Linked DNA regions of Arabidopsis thaliana. The main gene of each other region encodes a partner of the protein of the gene in region 2 in a complex. Each region holds a gene or a part of one and is shown on either strand. Other genes may lie near its edges.

The links. Proteins that work in one complex are often made in the same cells at the same time.
Region 1: ARP6 (region 2) and SWC2 share a complex: the UniProt entries of both Arabidopsis thaliana proteins name them as parts of the SWR1 chromatin-remodeling complex.

What each region holds. Positions count from the first base shown.
Region 1 is NC_003071.7:15,406,122-15,413,312, forward strand, and holds SWC2 (DNA binding protein SWC2), read right to left. Parts: upstream 3,792-7,191; 5' UTR 3,568-3,791; intron 3,334-3,567; 5' UTR 3,310-3,333; coding exon 3,242-3,309; intron 3,104-3,241; coding exon 3,034-3,103; intron 2,857-3,033; coding exon 2,785-2,856; intron 2,683-2,784; coding exon 2,639-2,682; intron 2,555-2,638; coding exon 2,281-2,554; intron 2,180-2,280; coding exon 2,104-2,179; intron 2,031-2,103; coding exon 1,911-2,030; intron 1,818-1,910; coding exon 1,749-1,817; intron 1,650-1,748; coding exon 1,607-1,649; intron 1,392-1,606; coding exon 1,326-1,391; coding exon of another isoform or gene 1,250-1,325; exon of another isoform or gene 1,141-1,249; coding exon 945-1,140; 3' UTR 926-944; intron 850-925; 3' UTR 501-849; downstream 1-500. Other genes in the region: AT2G36730 (Pentatricopeptide repeat (PPR) superfamily protein), read right to left, coding at 1-452; UGT73C1 (UDP-glucosyl transferase 73C1), read right to left, coding at 4,410-5,885; UGT73C2 (UDP-glucosyl transferase 73C2), read right to left, coding at 6,921-7,191. UniProt on the Arabidopsis thaliana protein: Component of the SWR1 complex which mediates the ATP-dependent exchange of histone H2A for the H2A variant H2A.F/Z leading to transcriptional regulation of selected genes (e.g. FLC) by chromatin remodeling.
Region 2 is NC_003074.8:14,091,367-14,098,424, forward strand, and holds ARP6 (actin-related protein 6), read right to left. Parts: upstream 4,223-7,058; 5' UTR 4,111-4,222; coding exon 3,238-4,110; intron 3,155-3,237; coding exon 3,091-3,154; intron 3,012-3,090; coding exon 2,927-3,011; intron 2,842-2,926; coding exon 2,791-2,841; intron 2,709-2,790; coding exon 2,646-2,708; intron 2,555-2,645; coding exon 2,425-2,554; 3' UTR 2,290-2,424; downstream 1-2,289. Other genes in the region: AT3G33530 (Transducin family protein / WD-40 repeat family protein), read left to right, coding at 1-41, 138-424, 654-775, 957-1,101, 1,180-1,272, 1,437-1,510, 1,606-1,659, 1,774-2,083. UniProt on the Arabidopsis thaliana protein: Component of the SWR1 complex which mediates the ATP-dependent exchange of histone H2A for the H2A variant H2A.F/Z leading to transcriptional regulation of selected genes (e.g. FLC) by chromatin remodeling. Binds to the promoter region of FLC chromatin.

The sequences.
Region 1 (7,191 bases), on a different chromosome or scaffold from region 2:
CCAACATATACATCAAAATCAAACCCATGTTTCAAAACCTCAACTTGAATCTGTCTCCCAGCAGTGAGACCTAAAAACGAAGCACAAGCCTTGAGAAGAAAAGGAAAAGTGAGCTTATTAGGTTTGATTCCTCGTCTCTTCATCTCAGAGTAAACCCAAATCGATTCCACAGGAGAATCACTTGAAGAATAGCCTCTACTGAGCATATTCCAAGTAGAAGGAGTCGAATCTGAAGAGTGAAGCAGAAGGGTTCGCGCAAAGGCAAGGTCTTTGGCGAGGGATAGTGATGAAACCCGTACAAGCTCGCTGATGATAAAGCTGTCATTTTGGAGAGAGGAGAGATGGATTTGACCATGGATCTGTAGAAGGTGTTTAATTGAGGAACATAGCTTGAGGAAGATAAGACATTGGTGTTTCCTGGATTTGAAGCATGAATCTGAACTCCAAATCATTATGCCATTGGAGCTCTTAGAAATCGCAAAAAGTTTCAATTTTCAAATCGGTGATATATTTATAGATTTGGAACGGTTTTAACGGAACCGAAGTAAAATCAAAAGCTTATTCGGTTCGGTTTAATGTGAAATTGATATTTATCAACCAAAACATATCATCTTTACAAGGTCAGTAATATACAGAAGATTACACTTTCTCTCTGATTCTGAGATGGGTGTCAGAGGTTTTGGTTAGGAGGATCAATCTCTGATTAGAGTGTTGTTGTTTCCATTTCAAAGCTCTGATCATGAAAATTTCCTCCATGAATGTTCTTCTCGCTTCTAATCTCTGAGAACCAAAACCATGGTCGTGGGAAGATCCATGAATGATGTATCACAATCATGTGAGATGCAGATTCTGCAGAGCATGATTACAACTGTGAGTTCATGATCATGTTTCATGAAAACTAAAGGCTTTATATTAATATACTAACCAAATCAGGGAGGTGTTTATTAATCTGAATCTTCTTCACTCTCTTCTTCAGACTCGGAGCTAAGGAAACGAGCTGAGCTTCTGAGGGAAAATGATTTGTTACTCTTTGGAATCTTCGTTCTCTTTTGTTTTGTTGCAAAACCTTTCGCCACTAGTGTATCAAACAAATCTCCCATCTCCATTTTCTTTCTCAAACCATCATGTTCGTCCATGAACCTTCAGAACAATAAACATAAGACTGGGAAATATCAGATTCTAACACTAATAAAGACAATGTAAATATCAAAGGCCTGTTTCACTCGATAACATTCATTTGCTTGATCCGTTAGAGGAAACAACAGATGAATACTTCTATAGACAAGTGAAAACATCGATGCAGCAATAATTGGATCAAGCAACACCTTTCACGTATTGCTTTGAAGGCGTCTCTAGTTGCATAAGGAAGACCCGTTTTTGGATCCCGGTACCTGTATCAGCAATACACACAACAGCTAAGAACTAGTTCTAAAATTGCAGAGAAAAGATAATCAGGTTTCTAGGTTATAACATCATTTCTTTTCGAGAAGTATATATCAAAGAAACTGATAACTTCTTTTTAGTAGACCTAAGAGAGTCTACTTGTGTTCATCCCAGAGATCTTGTTCTTCCGATGAATAAAGAAGAAGAACAGAAAAACTCTTACTTGGCAGGTAATCCCGTAATCACACATACAGCTTTTTCTGGATCTGGAAAAGAGAAAACAAACCAAAAGAAAGACAGAGATCAGTATAGATCAATATGAACACATTTATGTTCATCTCCAAACACCACTCAAAATTACTTACAGGGAACAGACTTCGTCGACAACTCTGAATTGAATGACGCACCATTACAGAATTCTAAATAGTTACATCCTGCATGTAAAGTTAAAAGTTTAAACAAATATAGTTCTTACTTTTCTGGAAAGATCCAATTAGACTGGATTACTATTTTACTGGAGAGCTTACCATCTTTTGAATGATACCGAATCTGAGGACCCTTGTAGACTGCTTTATGCACAATCGCTTTCTTTTTTACTTCTTCTTCCCTTGCCAAGACACGTTCTAAATTCCTCAAGTTCATGATTTCTGCAAGAACCTGACTTTAGCAATTTTGAGTTTCTGATAGAGCAAATCAGATGCAGCATCATAAAAGCCAAACCTGTTTGAGCAGCTTCCAGCAGCATTTCTTCTTGGGTCATCCGTTTTTCCTCCCCTACTTTTTTCCTTTGTATTGGCTGAACAAACACAAAAAAGAATTCAACATGGCAAGACTTAGAAAAGAGATTAAAGTGTAGCCATGAATGTAAATAGCTAGTGGGGATGAGTTCTGAGAAACCTTTGTTGTTGCTTGTATAGCAGCACGCAATGCATCTCTTTCTGCTTGCCGTACAACCACTGAAGTCCGTGTTGATTTCCTAATGACTTTCTCACCTTCCATATCTTCTTGTGCTTCATTCTCTTCTTTTTCTTCTTGTTCCTTGTTTCCCAATTCTTCACCTGGCTTCTCATCTCCAGGAATATATTCTAGTTGTGAAACTACCTTCGTCTTCTTTTTCTTTTTCTTTGAAGCAGTTTTCCCAGGGTAAATCAGCCGCTTCTTTGGCAGATCCCTACAACAATATGCAAAATTGTAACAAAATTAAAACAGACACACATAATAGCCATCATAAGACAAGCTTTGAAAAAATTCAAACCTCAATTCTTTTTCATTTACAGCGACTGCATCAGGCTCAGGCTCCTAATCCCAAACAAAAGGCAAAAGAAAGAAATTAAAAAGAATGGAAATATAAGCAAAAACCTTGATGAATAAGTACTCAATACATAAGCAAGACATAAATACATCGTCATTGAAGTCACTGTCAAACTCATCAGCAACCTCACGTTCTGCTTCATATTCATCATCATGTTCTTCCTGCAGATAACAAAAGTAAAGAGATACATAAATGTCAGCAAACACACGAAAGTTTCTGCGATAGTATCTTGTCTACAAATCTGATTTTTTTCCATTATATATTTTGACATCTAGTCTACCTTAACAAATCATTAACATCTCTTTAAGAGAGTAAGCTATATATAAAACAAAACAAACCTCTTTAAGAGCTTCTTGATTCCAAAACTGTTCATCTTCTTCTACTTCGTCATCAAGCAACTTGGTCATCCTGAAAAAAAACAGAAAACTGATGAATAAAGCTTCCACAAGAGAGTTTCTGATACATCTCAATAACAGTGAGACAAAACCACAATCTTCAGGTGAAACACATTCATCAGGTAAAAGCTTAAGCTCAAGTAATTCTTACCGTTTACCCCGTGTTGCTCTTGTTGTACGGTCCAAGAACACCATTGGCTCTTCTTCATCGATTTCCATTGATAACTTGCTCAACTCTTACTTCTACAAGTTCACAAATTTAAACGAAAATGTCATAACACACAAATTAACAAATCAGCAAGGAACCCCCAAATTAGGGTTTCTCGCAATTTCAAGACTTTACGATTATATCGAGAGGGAAACAGGAACAAAAACCCAAAATTTGAGTGATGTACACAGTAATCGAAGAAGAGCCCATGAAAGCGAGAATGAAAAGTAATTTGTGTGATGAGCTTAAAATCTCGCTCGAGGAGTTACCTTCGGAAAATTTTAGGTTGGAGAAGTTTCTTCGACGAGCACACGTCTTCGCCGGCGACCGCCGCACCTCTTTGATTCACTCTTTCACACACGGTGCCGCTGGTTCGTACACCATTGTTATTGGACTTGAGATATTAATGGGCCTTCCACTTAGACATTTTCAAAGCCCATATTATATTAGAAGATTCTTTTTGTAAAATAAAACTTACAATGATAGACCGCTGGGGAAAAACGTTTTATTTTTATTTTTATTAATGACCTTGAGTAATTTCTTTTTACACTGGCATATATAAAATTTTAAATTAAATTTACGATGAAAAATCGTAACGTAAATAATACCAAAAAAGAAAGATGTTAAGATATATAAATCGGTTAACAAAATTGTCCAGAAATGGTAATATCATAGATAGATTTCAATTTTCAAGTCATGCATGATGTCATTTTGGATATAACACGAGTTGTCAACTTGTCATGATCGAGAAAGCAAAAGTAAACAAACAAAAAGTGTTTCTACACTCCTCTAAACTCCAAGGAGCAAGCAATATCGAAGTTGCGATCTCATGCAGGACCACTGGAGAAGGTTTCTACACTCTTCTAAAGCTACAGAAAAAAAAAAAGTATATAAGAAATTGTGTTTTTTTCTTCAATTTGAGTGTACGAATTCGAATGCTTAATAAGTATGTACTAACTAAGATGTTAGTATAAGATTCGATAATAGAGACAATTTCAAATAAAACTATCATAAATTGTTCTTGAACAAAGAGAAGTAATCGAGAACAAACGTCACAATCATTTTTTTTGGGTAATACAAAAGAAAAGTTACAATCTAAGAAAAGTTACAATCATTTCTTGGGTTGTTCTAATTGCATTATGTCTTGTAGCAAGAATGTGATGTTGGAATGAGAAGAGCCTCCTTCTTCCACAGCCTTGTGAGCTAATTCTCCAAGCTCTTTCACTCTTTTTCTTCTCTCCTTAGCATCATTACTATCACCCATCAATTCCTCCACTGCCTTCTTTACTCCTTCTTTATCCACCAGTACTCCTATTTTCTCCTCTTCTCCCCATCTCATGGACTCTTCAACCCCAGCTCTCACACCGGCTTTTAGTATCTGCACCGCCAATTTCTCATTGCAGAATTGGTCTCCAAACAGTGGCCACGTGAGTAATGGAACGCCTGAAGTGATTCCTTCAAGAGTAGAGTTCCATCCACAATGTGTCAAGAATCCTCCAACGGCAGGATGTGTAAGGATAAGCATTTGAGGCGACCATCCTGTTATGAGAAGGCCTCTTTCTTTGATTCTTTCCTTATAACCGCTCTCTGAGATCCATTCAAGTAACTCGTTATACTTCTCCCAACCTCTTATGACCCAAATGAAAGGTCTTTGGGATTCCTCGAGGCCTAAGCCGAGCTCTTTGAGCTGAGACAGAGGAAGATTGCATATACTTCCAAGGCAAACATATAGCACCGACCCTTCTTCTTTAGAATCAAGCCATTTAATACACTCGTCTTGATCAATGTCCGCCTTGTTTCCCCTCTCAGCTTGGTCTTCTCCTAACTTGTTGCACAAGGAAACCGGTCCGATGCTCCATATCTTACCCGCTTTAACCTTCTTGTAGTCTCTAACATAAGCTGGCTCGAGCTCTTCAAACGTGTTAACAATCACACCATAAGAAGTGTTATCCCCTTCTGTCATTCCGTCAAGGAAGTCTTTCCAATCTCCAGCAACTAATACCATTGGAAGCTGAGATTTTGTGAACTCAACTCTGTCAGGGAAATTAGGAATGGGGAAGTATTCCTTGTCAGACTCTATAGTTTCCAAGAACTCGTGGTTTTGGTGCATTATGTGCGTACAAAGAAGATTGAAGCAACACATGCCATGAAAGATGATTTTTGGTATACCAAGATTCTTGGCAATTCTGTTTGTATAAGGCAAACACATGTCAGCGATTATGCAGTTTGGCCTAGGTTGAATCTCTTTCAAGAGCTTCTCGACTGGTTCCTCGAGCAGGCTAAATGCTTTGAAGAAGGTTAATGAAGCCCCCAATGAATCGAGCAAGTCCAAATTCTCCTGTCCTTCCGGTGAACCCGATTCTTGAGATGGAAACTTTACTTGCACGAGATTGATGGGCAAGCCGGATTGGATAGCCCGGCTAAGAACGTTCTTGAACCGGCCTGCGTTTTGAGGTGTAGTGACAATGGTTATAGTCACCCCGCGCTGAGCCAGGAGCCTTGCAATATCTACCATTGGGATCATGTGGCCTTGAGCCATGAAAGGGAAGAGAACAAAATGAAGAGGAGGACGAAATTCCGATGCCATGAGGAACTCTCTTCTAAGGTTTATTTTTTTTGCTTTGGTTCCGATAATGTGTGTGTTTCTCTGTGCCTACATATATTAAGATGTGATGTAAGAAAGAACAAAAGGAAATTGGCTTATTATTCGTAATAGTTACAAAACACACTAAGTGGTTCACAGTACATATCGTGGCGGGCACTCATATGTTCTTTTGTATTCATATAAGCCCAAAATTTTAAGAGAAAATATCTTTTAGCTAGAGGTACGTCGAAAAGATAGTGAAAAGTTTATAGCCGTAAAAATTAGTATTGGATAAACGAATAAAGAAAGAAAAATCAAATTCGGAATATCTCAGTCTCTCCTTCTTTTTATGTCGTATGGACAAACAAGCCTCAACATTTGTCTTCAAACTAAATCAAAGTGTGTACTCTAGATTTCTAGCTATTCTAGTCTTTTTTTTTTTTTTTTTTTTTTTTGCTTTATGACGACTGATTTTGATAGGATATTAAATTAGGATATGTGAAATACTTGGTTGTTTTCTTAAAAACGTATTTTTTGTTTCCTCTTTTTTTTTTCTTCCGAAAAATCAAAACTCTTAATGAAAATTTCATTTAAAATAAAATCTCCTTAGGTGCACAAAAAAAAAAAAAAAAAATCTCCTTATGACAAATATCTTGATTGTTTGAAATTCAGATTGGTGACAAGATAAATCAAATTTTGTATAGCTATTAAAATATGAAAAACTATAAACGGATATACATAAAAGGAATTATTAGGGAAATTGTAGATTTCTTTAAAAAAAACATTATTGATAATAAGCCTAAAACCGCTAGAAGAATTAGGAAAGTTGAACTCCGCCGGACTACCAGCGCAGCTGTCTATACAATGAAATTATTAGACATTGGCTCTTTCTACGATTTCAATGTATATAAGTTGTAGTTTTTAAAATATTTACATAATTCTAATAGCAAAACAAGACGAATTCGATTACCCAACAAATAACTGATAAGATATTACATGCACGCACAATGATTTAACAAACAACAACAATATATACAATCAACTCTTGGATTCTACTTGTTGCATTATATCTTGTAGCAAAAATATGATATTAGAATGAGAAGAGCCTCCTTCTTCCACAGCCTTGTGAGCTAATTCTCCAAGCTCTCTGACTCTTTTTCTTCTCTCTTTTGCTTCATCACTCTCGCCCATTATTTCGTCCACTGCCTTCTTCACTCCTTCTTTATCCACTAACACTCCAATACTCTCCTCTTCTCCCCATTTCATGACCTCTTCAACCCCAACACTTACACCTGCTTTTAGCACCTGC
Region 2 (7,058 bases):
CGAAATGCTGTTGAAGATACTAGAACCTTATCGGAAAGAAGGTTGATCTCATTTGTCACCACAGACTAGCCTCTCTCTGTTAAGATACCTGTTTAAGTATTCTATTTTCTTACCTTCTCTAATTTCTTGTATCCTAGGTTGCTTGCTGGACGATGAAAGAGCAAAACTTTACGCTGATGTGGTCAAGAAAGGTTATGCTGCAAGATTTGCTTTTGCAGCTTCTGTTTTTGGTGAAACCTCAGAAGCACTTTTCTGGTTGCAACTTCCTCAAGCCATTCGCCATCTGATGAACAAGCTAACGAGAAGGTCTCCGCAGAAAATCTCTTCCCCTACTTTAGACTCAGGAGCTGATGAAGTAGCTATGCCGAGTAAAATACCATCTACTGGATTATCGTCACCTGAAGCCAGGAAGATAGACTCTATGGTCAGTTTCAAAATAATTTTTTTTTTCCTTTCAAAAGATCATGCATTCTAGCCATTCCCTTCTACCAGGATGCAGAGACGAGATTTATTTATTTTGGAACTGGAGCTCCTTCACTTTGTAATTTTCTGCTAGCTTAATGGAGCTTTCTTATTTGAAGTCGGTTTGGATTAGAAATTTCCATTTGCTTAGTGTTTGTTGGTGAGCTTATATTCTACATTTTCTCGAACAGTGTGATGGTTCACTTAGATTGATGGCTTTTGAGCGAGAAGAATTACGGACGCGTGCCAATGAACGTCTTCCTTGGCATGAAAAATTAGACGGAGAAGATTGCATTCAGAAACAAGTACACGAGTTAGTATTTCACCATTAGCTTGTCTTTACTGTTTATTGTCCTTTCAATTTATTACTTGAAATTACGGTTTTGTTTTAGTAGTAGCTCCTGTGTAAAATGGAAACTATATATTTTAGAAGCATCTTAAGCTGAGAGAAAAAGTAGTTGTGTTGATCTTGTATCGGTAACCTCTTTGACCAGGCTGATATCAGTTGGAAATTTGGAAGCTGCTGTTAGTTTGCTGCTTTCTTCAGCTCCAGATTCTCCATACTTCTATCCAAATGCTCTCCGAGCTGTTGCACTCGCTTCTGCTGTGTCTAAATCTCTTCTCGACCTTGCACTAAAGGTATCTGTCTTTGCTATATTGGATAATCTTTCGTGTCCTTGTAAAAAAATCATTCCATCACATTTGTTCCACACGTAGGTTGTTGCAGCCAACATGGTAAGGACCGACAATTCACTCACTGGTACTCATCTTTTATGTGCCGTTGGTAGGCACCAAGAAGCTTGTTCACAGGTTAGCTTTCTTTGTTTCCTTGGTCATACTACATATTGCATATTCTTCGGAACTATGCTTCCACTGAAATTGTCATTTCATTAGTTATTCGAGAATATTCTTAGCTTGGTTTAATAATAGGCAACGTTTTAGACACAGAATATTTTATACTTTTTAATATGCAGCTCCAAGATTCTGGACGATGGACCGATGCTGCTACCTTGGCCGCAACACATTTAGAAGGATCGGATTATGCCAGGTCTTTTCTTCTACGGTTTACTTCTAGATCTAATTATTATTTCCTATTATTGGTTACTAGTCGTTGTAACTACTCCTATCTCTCTATCTACTCAGGGTATTGCAAAGGTGGGCTGATCATGTTCTCCATGCGGAGCACAACGTCTGGCGGTACTTTATCATCATGCTCACATTCAATACAGTTTAACTTAGAAAATTTAAATGTGACATAAATTCCTCAAACAGTTCCGATGATGAGAAAAGAATTTCATTTTATTAATGCAGGGCCCTTATTTTATATGTGGCTGCTGGTTCCCTGCAAGAGGCGCTTGCAGCTCTCAGAGAGGTGCAACAGCCTGATACAGTAGCCATGTTTGTCCTCGCGTGTCAGGAGATTCATTCAGAAATCATAACCGAGCTATCAACCCAAGACGAGGAGTCTGAATCTGCTTCTGGTGATGGCACAGTACCGCTGCCCGATCTGCCTGGTCTTGAATCAGGGAAGGAAGAAGTGACAGCGGTTTGTGAATACTTTCAACAGTACCAGAGAAAGCTAGTGCATTTGTGCATGGACTCTCAACCCTACACCGACTGATGAGGAAACTATACTACCAAACTCTTTCGTTGGCTATGCAAAATTACGCACATGAAATCATCTTTGAAGAACAACAACAAAAACAAGTTTTTGCATTTAAATATTACTGTATTTGTGATATAGATAATGTTTCTGCATGTTGTACCCTAAACCCTTCTTCTGTGTAAACTTGATTTAAGAAGACAAGATAATTTTCTCTTGTTGTTTGGTTATTACTTAAACGGTTTGAAGTTTATCAAATTAGAGGAAGAAGAAAAACAATACATGCATTACAATATACGACAAATAATGTGAAGAATTTCAACTTACAACCAACTCATGTGATATTGTTTTGGTTAGCCTCAATGAAAGAATCGTCTACGACACCGAGCTGATCCAAGTTCTTCGTACTCAGCCTTGGTGACACACATGGACTCGAAATCCGGGCTGGAAGCCAAAAGTGAACCACCTCTCCATACACCTAGTATGGGGCTGCAAATACAAAAGGAGTTAAAATAACAAAGAAAGAGCTGCAAATATAAAGAGTAAAAAAAAAAAAAAAAAAAGGATTGAGGTTGTTTACTCCTCCTGAGTTGTTATCTTCACATCAAAGTGATCTGGGACAAGTGGTCGAAGCTCTCCTTCTCTGCAATAATGTCTCAGACCATCAACTTCTCTAATAATAAAGCAGTACTAATGAATGATTCATCACATAAATTTAGCCTTACAGTCTCTCCTTAAGTTGTGGAAATAATGTACTTCCACCAGTTAAGATAATGCTGCGGTAAAACATCAAACATTAGACATCAAAGCTCATTCAATAACAGCAGAAGATTAAAAATAAGTAATCCATTTGAAAACCACCTTTGATACAAAACTGGTTGCAAGTAAGAATGGCATGAGTTTATAGCTCGGACAATGCACTCTGCAAGTCCCGCCTGATTCATCCCTATCCCAAAACAAAATAAAATACCATCTCATCATCATCTTCTATCTACAACTACATTCTAACATTCATCAACACAAACCTAAATCTGCAGGCTGGAATAACGTCTCAGGTACAAGAAAACGCTCATTCGTTAAATCAATCTCCTGCAAAGACAAAAAAAAAACCTCAAACTTGAGAGAAATCCCTACCACCACCACAGAGACAAAAGAATCGAAAAAAAGTTTACATTTTTGTTCATGTCAGCCTTCTTTCTCTCCCCAACCTTATCCATCACCACCACAGACTCTTTCTCTGACAAACTAAGAAACCTCTTAGCAGCTTGAGGGTCTTTAACATAGCCTTTGGTATGTGTAACACCATCAGGAAGAACATAAGTAGACTTGATAAGAGTGTTCCCATTTCTAGCAAGGCGGAGATCACGAAGAAGATCAAGTGAAACAAAACAAAGCTTCTCTTTAGCATCATCAACTAAAAAAGTTTCATCCATAACATTAATAGATCTATAAGAAACCAATTCCTTCAAGTAATTAGTAAAAGCTTTTCCTCCTAAATCAATCCTCTTAATGGCGTGATTAAGAGTGAAATTGTGAAGAACAGGAACAGCGTGAGTGAAGGAGAAACCACAATCAACAACGAGACTACACTGAGTCTTTGAGAGGATTGAATCAGGCTGACGACTAGCTTCATAGAGATGAACAAGAGATTGAGGATGAGCTATATAGAGAGAAGAGAATCCGAAATCTTCGAAGACGAGTTCGTCGGTGGTTCGTTGAACGGAAGGGATTGAGAGTGGTGCTTCGGTGAGGAGGAGAGAGGAGGAGGAAGGAGCTATGTGGAGGAGGGAAGTGAATAGGTGTGACCAGATTTCGCGTTGTAGGTCGGAGTTTATGAGGTAGCCACGGTCGATTGGGCGGCGTACGGCGGCGGAGGTGAGGTCGATTTCGTCGGAGAGAGTGGTGAGTGGTGATGGGTGGATGAATTTTTTGGAAGAGAGAGGTTTGTAGAGACAGTTCGGGATTACGGTGGTGGGATCACGCTCGCCGCCTTGTCCGGCTTTGATTAGACCACCGCCGTTGTCTAGAACAACGATGTTTGACATTGATGACGATGACTCGCCGCCGCCGGCGAACGAACTCTGTAAGTGGTTTTTTGTTGTTTAAATGAATCGGTTTAGGATCTACTGGTTTAAGCTAGTGCGATTTTAAGAAAAGACTGTATTGGAATTACCAGTTTAGAGATTTCAAACTGAGGGAAGAGTGAATTTGAATTAGGGAAATTACTAAAACCGGTCCGGTTGTTCCGTTAAACGCTACAAAAGTTAGTAGGCCCGGGAGTTCGACTAAATCGGGTTGGTCGGATCGGGTTATTCGGTTTAAGGAAAATTCAGGGTTTTGAAAATTTCACTGAATAGACTCGAATTAAAATTCGGTTCGGATCAGTTCGGTAGTCGGTTAATTCGGATCGGTTATTAGCTAAAATTTATGTTCTGAACATGAACTGGATTTTGTATTTTTCTTGGTTTATAGATTTTTTCATTTTGGTTTACATATTACAATTACTCTATTACAAACACAAATCTAGTAAAATACTAAAATGGGAAATTTACATTTATAACCTACAAAAATATTATAATTAGGTAACTAACACTCTAAAAAAAAGTAACCAATATTGTTTGTATTTTCTGTAATAATGCCAATACTATCCCTGTTTGAAATACACGCTCTTCATCTTCTCCCTTCCATAGAAAACCAATTATTCTCTTTCACTAACTATTAACTTTTGAACATGGGTTTGGCTCTAATAAATTTCAGTCCACCGTTTATGAAGCTTTTGATTTTGCCAACGATTAACAGAGGTGTATTGGGCACAGAAGCAAGACAGTTAATTTTCGGAAATGACATTTCGGTTTTGCTCGAAATTGAATTAGAGGTTTTGATTTACACAGGCAAGACTTCAGATTTTGTTGGAGTCTTTGGTTTTTTTTAAGAGACTTTGGTTTTATTTTTTGAAATTGAATTAGTCGAGATTCTCGCTAATAAGCGCTGAATTTGATCAATCTCTGTTTTCTGTTTCCTTCATTTGATTTCTTTTTTTGGGTCTCTCTAATTTATTGGCGTCGTTGTACTTTTTGGGTATACTATTTACGTATACCTTGTACTATATATGTTTTAAAATGAATTGTTTGTTTTGATTAAGGATATTAAGTGATTTGATTAGTGTTTTATATTAAAAGTCTTGGGTTCCCTATATATTATCTTAGGGTTTAGTATCCTTCCATCAAAAAGTATTTAATTGATTATTTGGATTCATCGGAACAAACGTTTCTATTTGAACAAATATATAATATTCTATCTTTCTATGATGATCTGTATAGAATTTGATACCACTATTCATTTTTTAAGAAATTCGTTTCCGATTTTTAAAATTCAAATCATATTAGATAAACAAAAAAAAAATCTGTTTTTTCAATAGTATCTTTAACTTTAACCAAGTAATATTGTTAAACTAATAAAGTAAACAAAATCAAGAGGGGTGAATATATATTACTCATATATATTTCTCTTTCCTCCTGTGGCTTCTCTTTCTCTCCAAGCGCATCGTTGGGAAGGAGTTGGGTGTATTTTCACAACTGACATGTGCTATCAAATGAATTACACACATTATGGTGCTATATATTTAATAACTTTTTCAAAAACCGTCATTTTTGTAATTCACCCTACTAAAATAAACCATTACAAATAATATAAAAGCCCAATACAATTAAAAAACCCAACATACAATCAAAAGCCCAACCCAATAATTTTTTTAGGGTTTTGCAAAGGAATGAGCAAAGTGACTGCGGCTCTGGCTGTGATTGTGACAGCGACGGTAAAAACCACGGCGATCTCCGACCGTCCTATTCCAACTTGAAGGAGTCCTAATCAACAATGCCACTAAACTGGAAATTTGAATCCGGCGTGCCATCTTTTGATCTGCATGCCACTCTTGTAGTGGATAATACCTATTTACCCTTAATGAATTATATCAATTAATTTTAAAAGAAAAATCAAAAACAAAATCCAAATCGAAATCGAAATTATCCCGACCCAACCCAATTAATTCCGACCCAATTCATTTAATTCCGACGAGATAGGCGATTTCCGATTAACTTCCAACATCGGTGATTTTTGACATTGGCTCCGTCGAGTCTGGGGAAACTTTGCTAGGTCAGCTAATCCAATTCTCCGGCCGTCGATTTCTCCGGTGCTGCGTGCTACGTGAGTCGATACTATTGGATCGAATTCTTTATTGATCTTTGCTGCGGCTACTCTGGAAACGATCCTTCTTTAGTTCTTCCATCTCCTGTAAGTATTATAGTTAGTACAATGTAATTGAATTGAATCAATGTGTAAGCAGAATCAAACCATATTTGCATAATACAATGGATGGACGAACTGAAATTGAATCAGACACTGGTACATCTCGTGGTTCAACTGGTACTAATATAGTGTTTATATTTGTAGGAGGCGATGAAGAAGAGGATCCAGATGAACCTACACTTTGACTATGGAGGGTACTATACAGCAGACCATGAGTGAAGTTGCAAAAATTCAATATACGGTATAGTGTTTAAGACATCATCTTTGGAGAGAATAACATATGCGGATTTAATAGATAAGATCTGTAGAAAGATTGCTCTAGGTGGAGAGAAAAGGAATCTGAAATTGAGTTACAAGATATGTAAAGCATGGAGAGAGTCTTATATTGTAGATAATGAGGATGTGTTGATATATTTAACGTCATTGGATAAAGAGGGATTTAGACCTGTTTTGCATGTAGAGTTATGCAGTGATTTGGAAAGTAATAATAGGCAAGTTCCAATAGTAGAGCGAAGAAGTTCATGCGGTGTAAATTATGGGGAATTGGCTGCCAATGTTGTAATGGTTGCGGATGTAAATACAGGAATTCTGAGTACTAATGAACTTATTATTGAACTAGAGGAACAGCGTGAGACAGTTAGTGAACCTATTATTGAACTAGAGGAACAGCGTGAGACAGTTAGTGAAC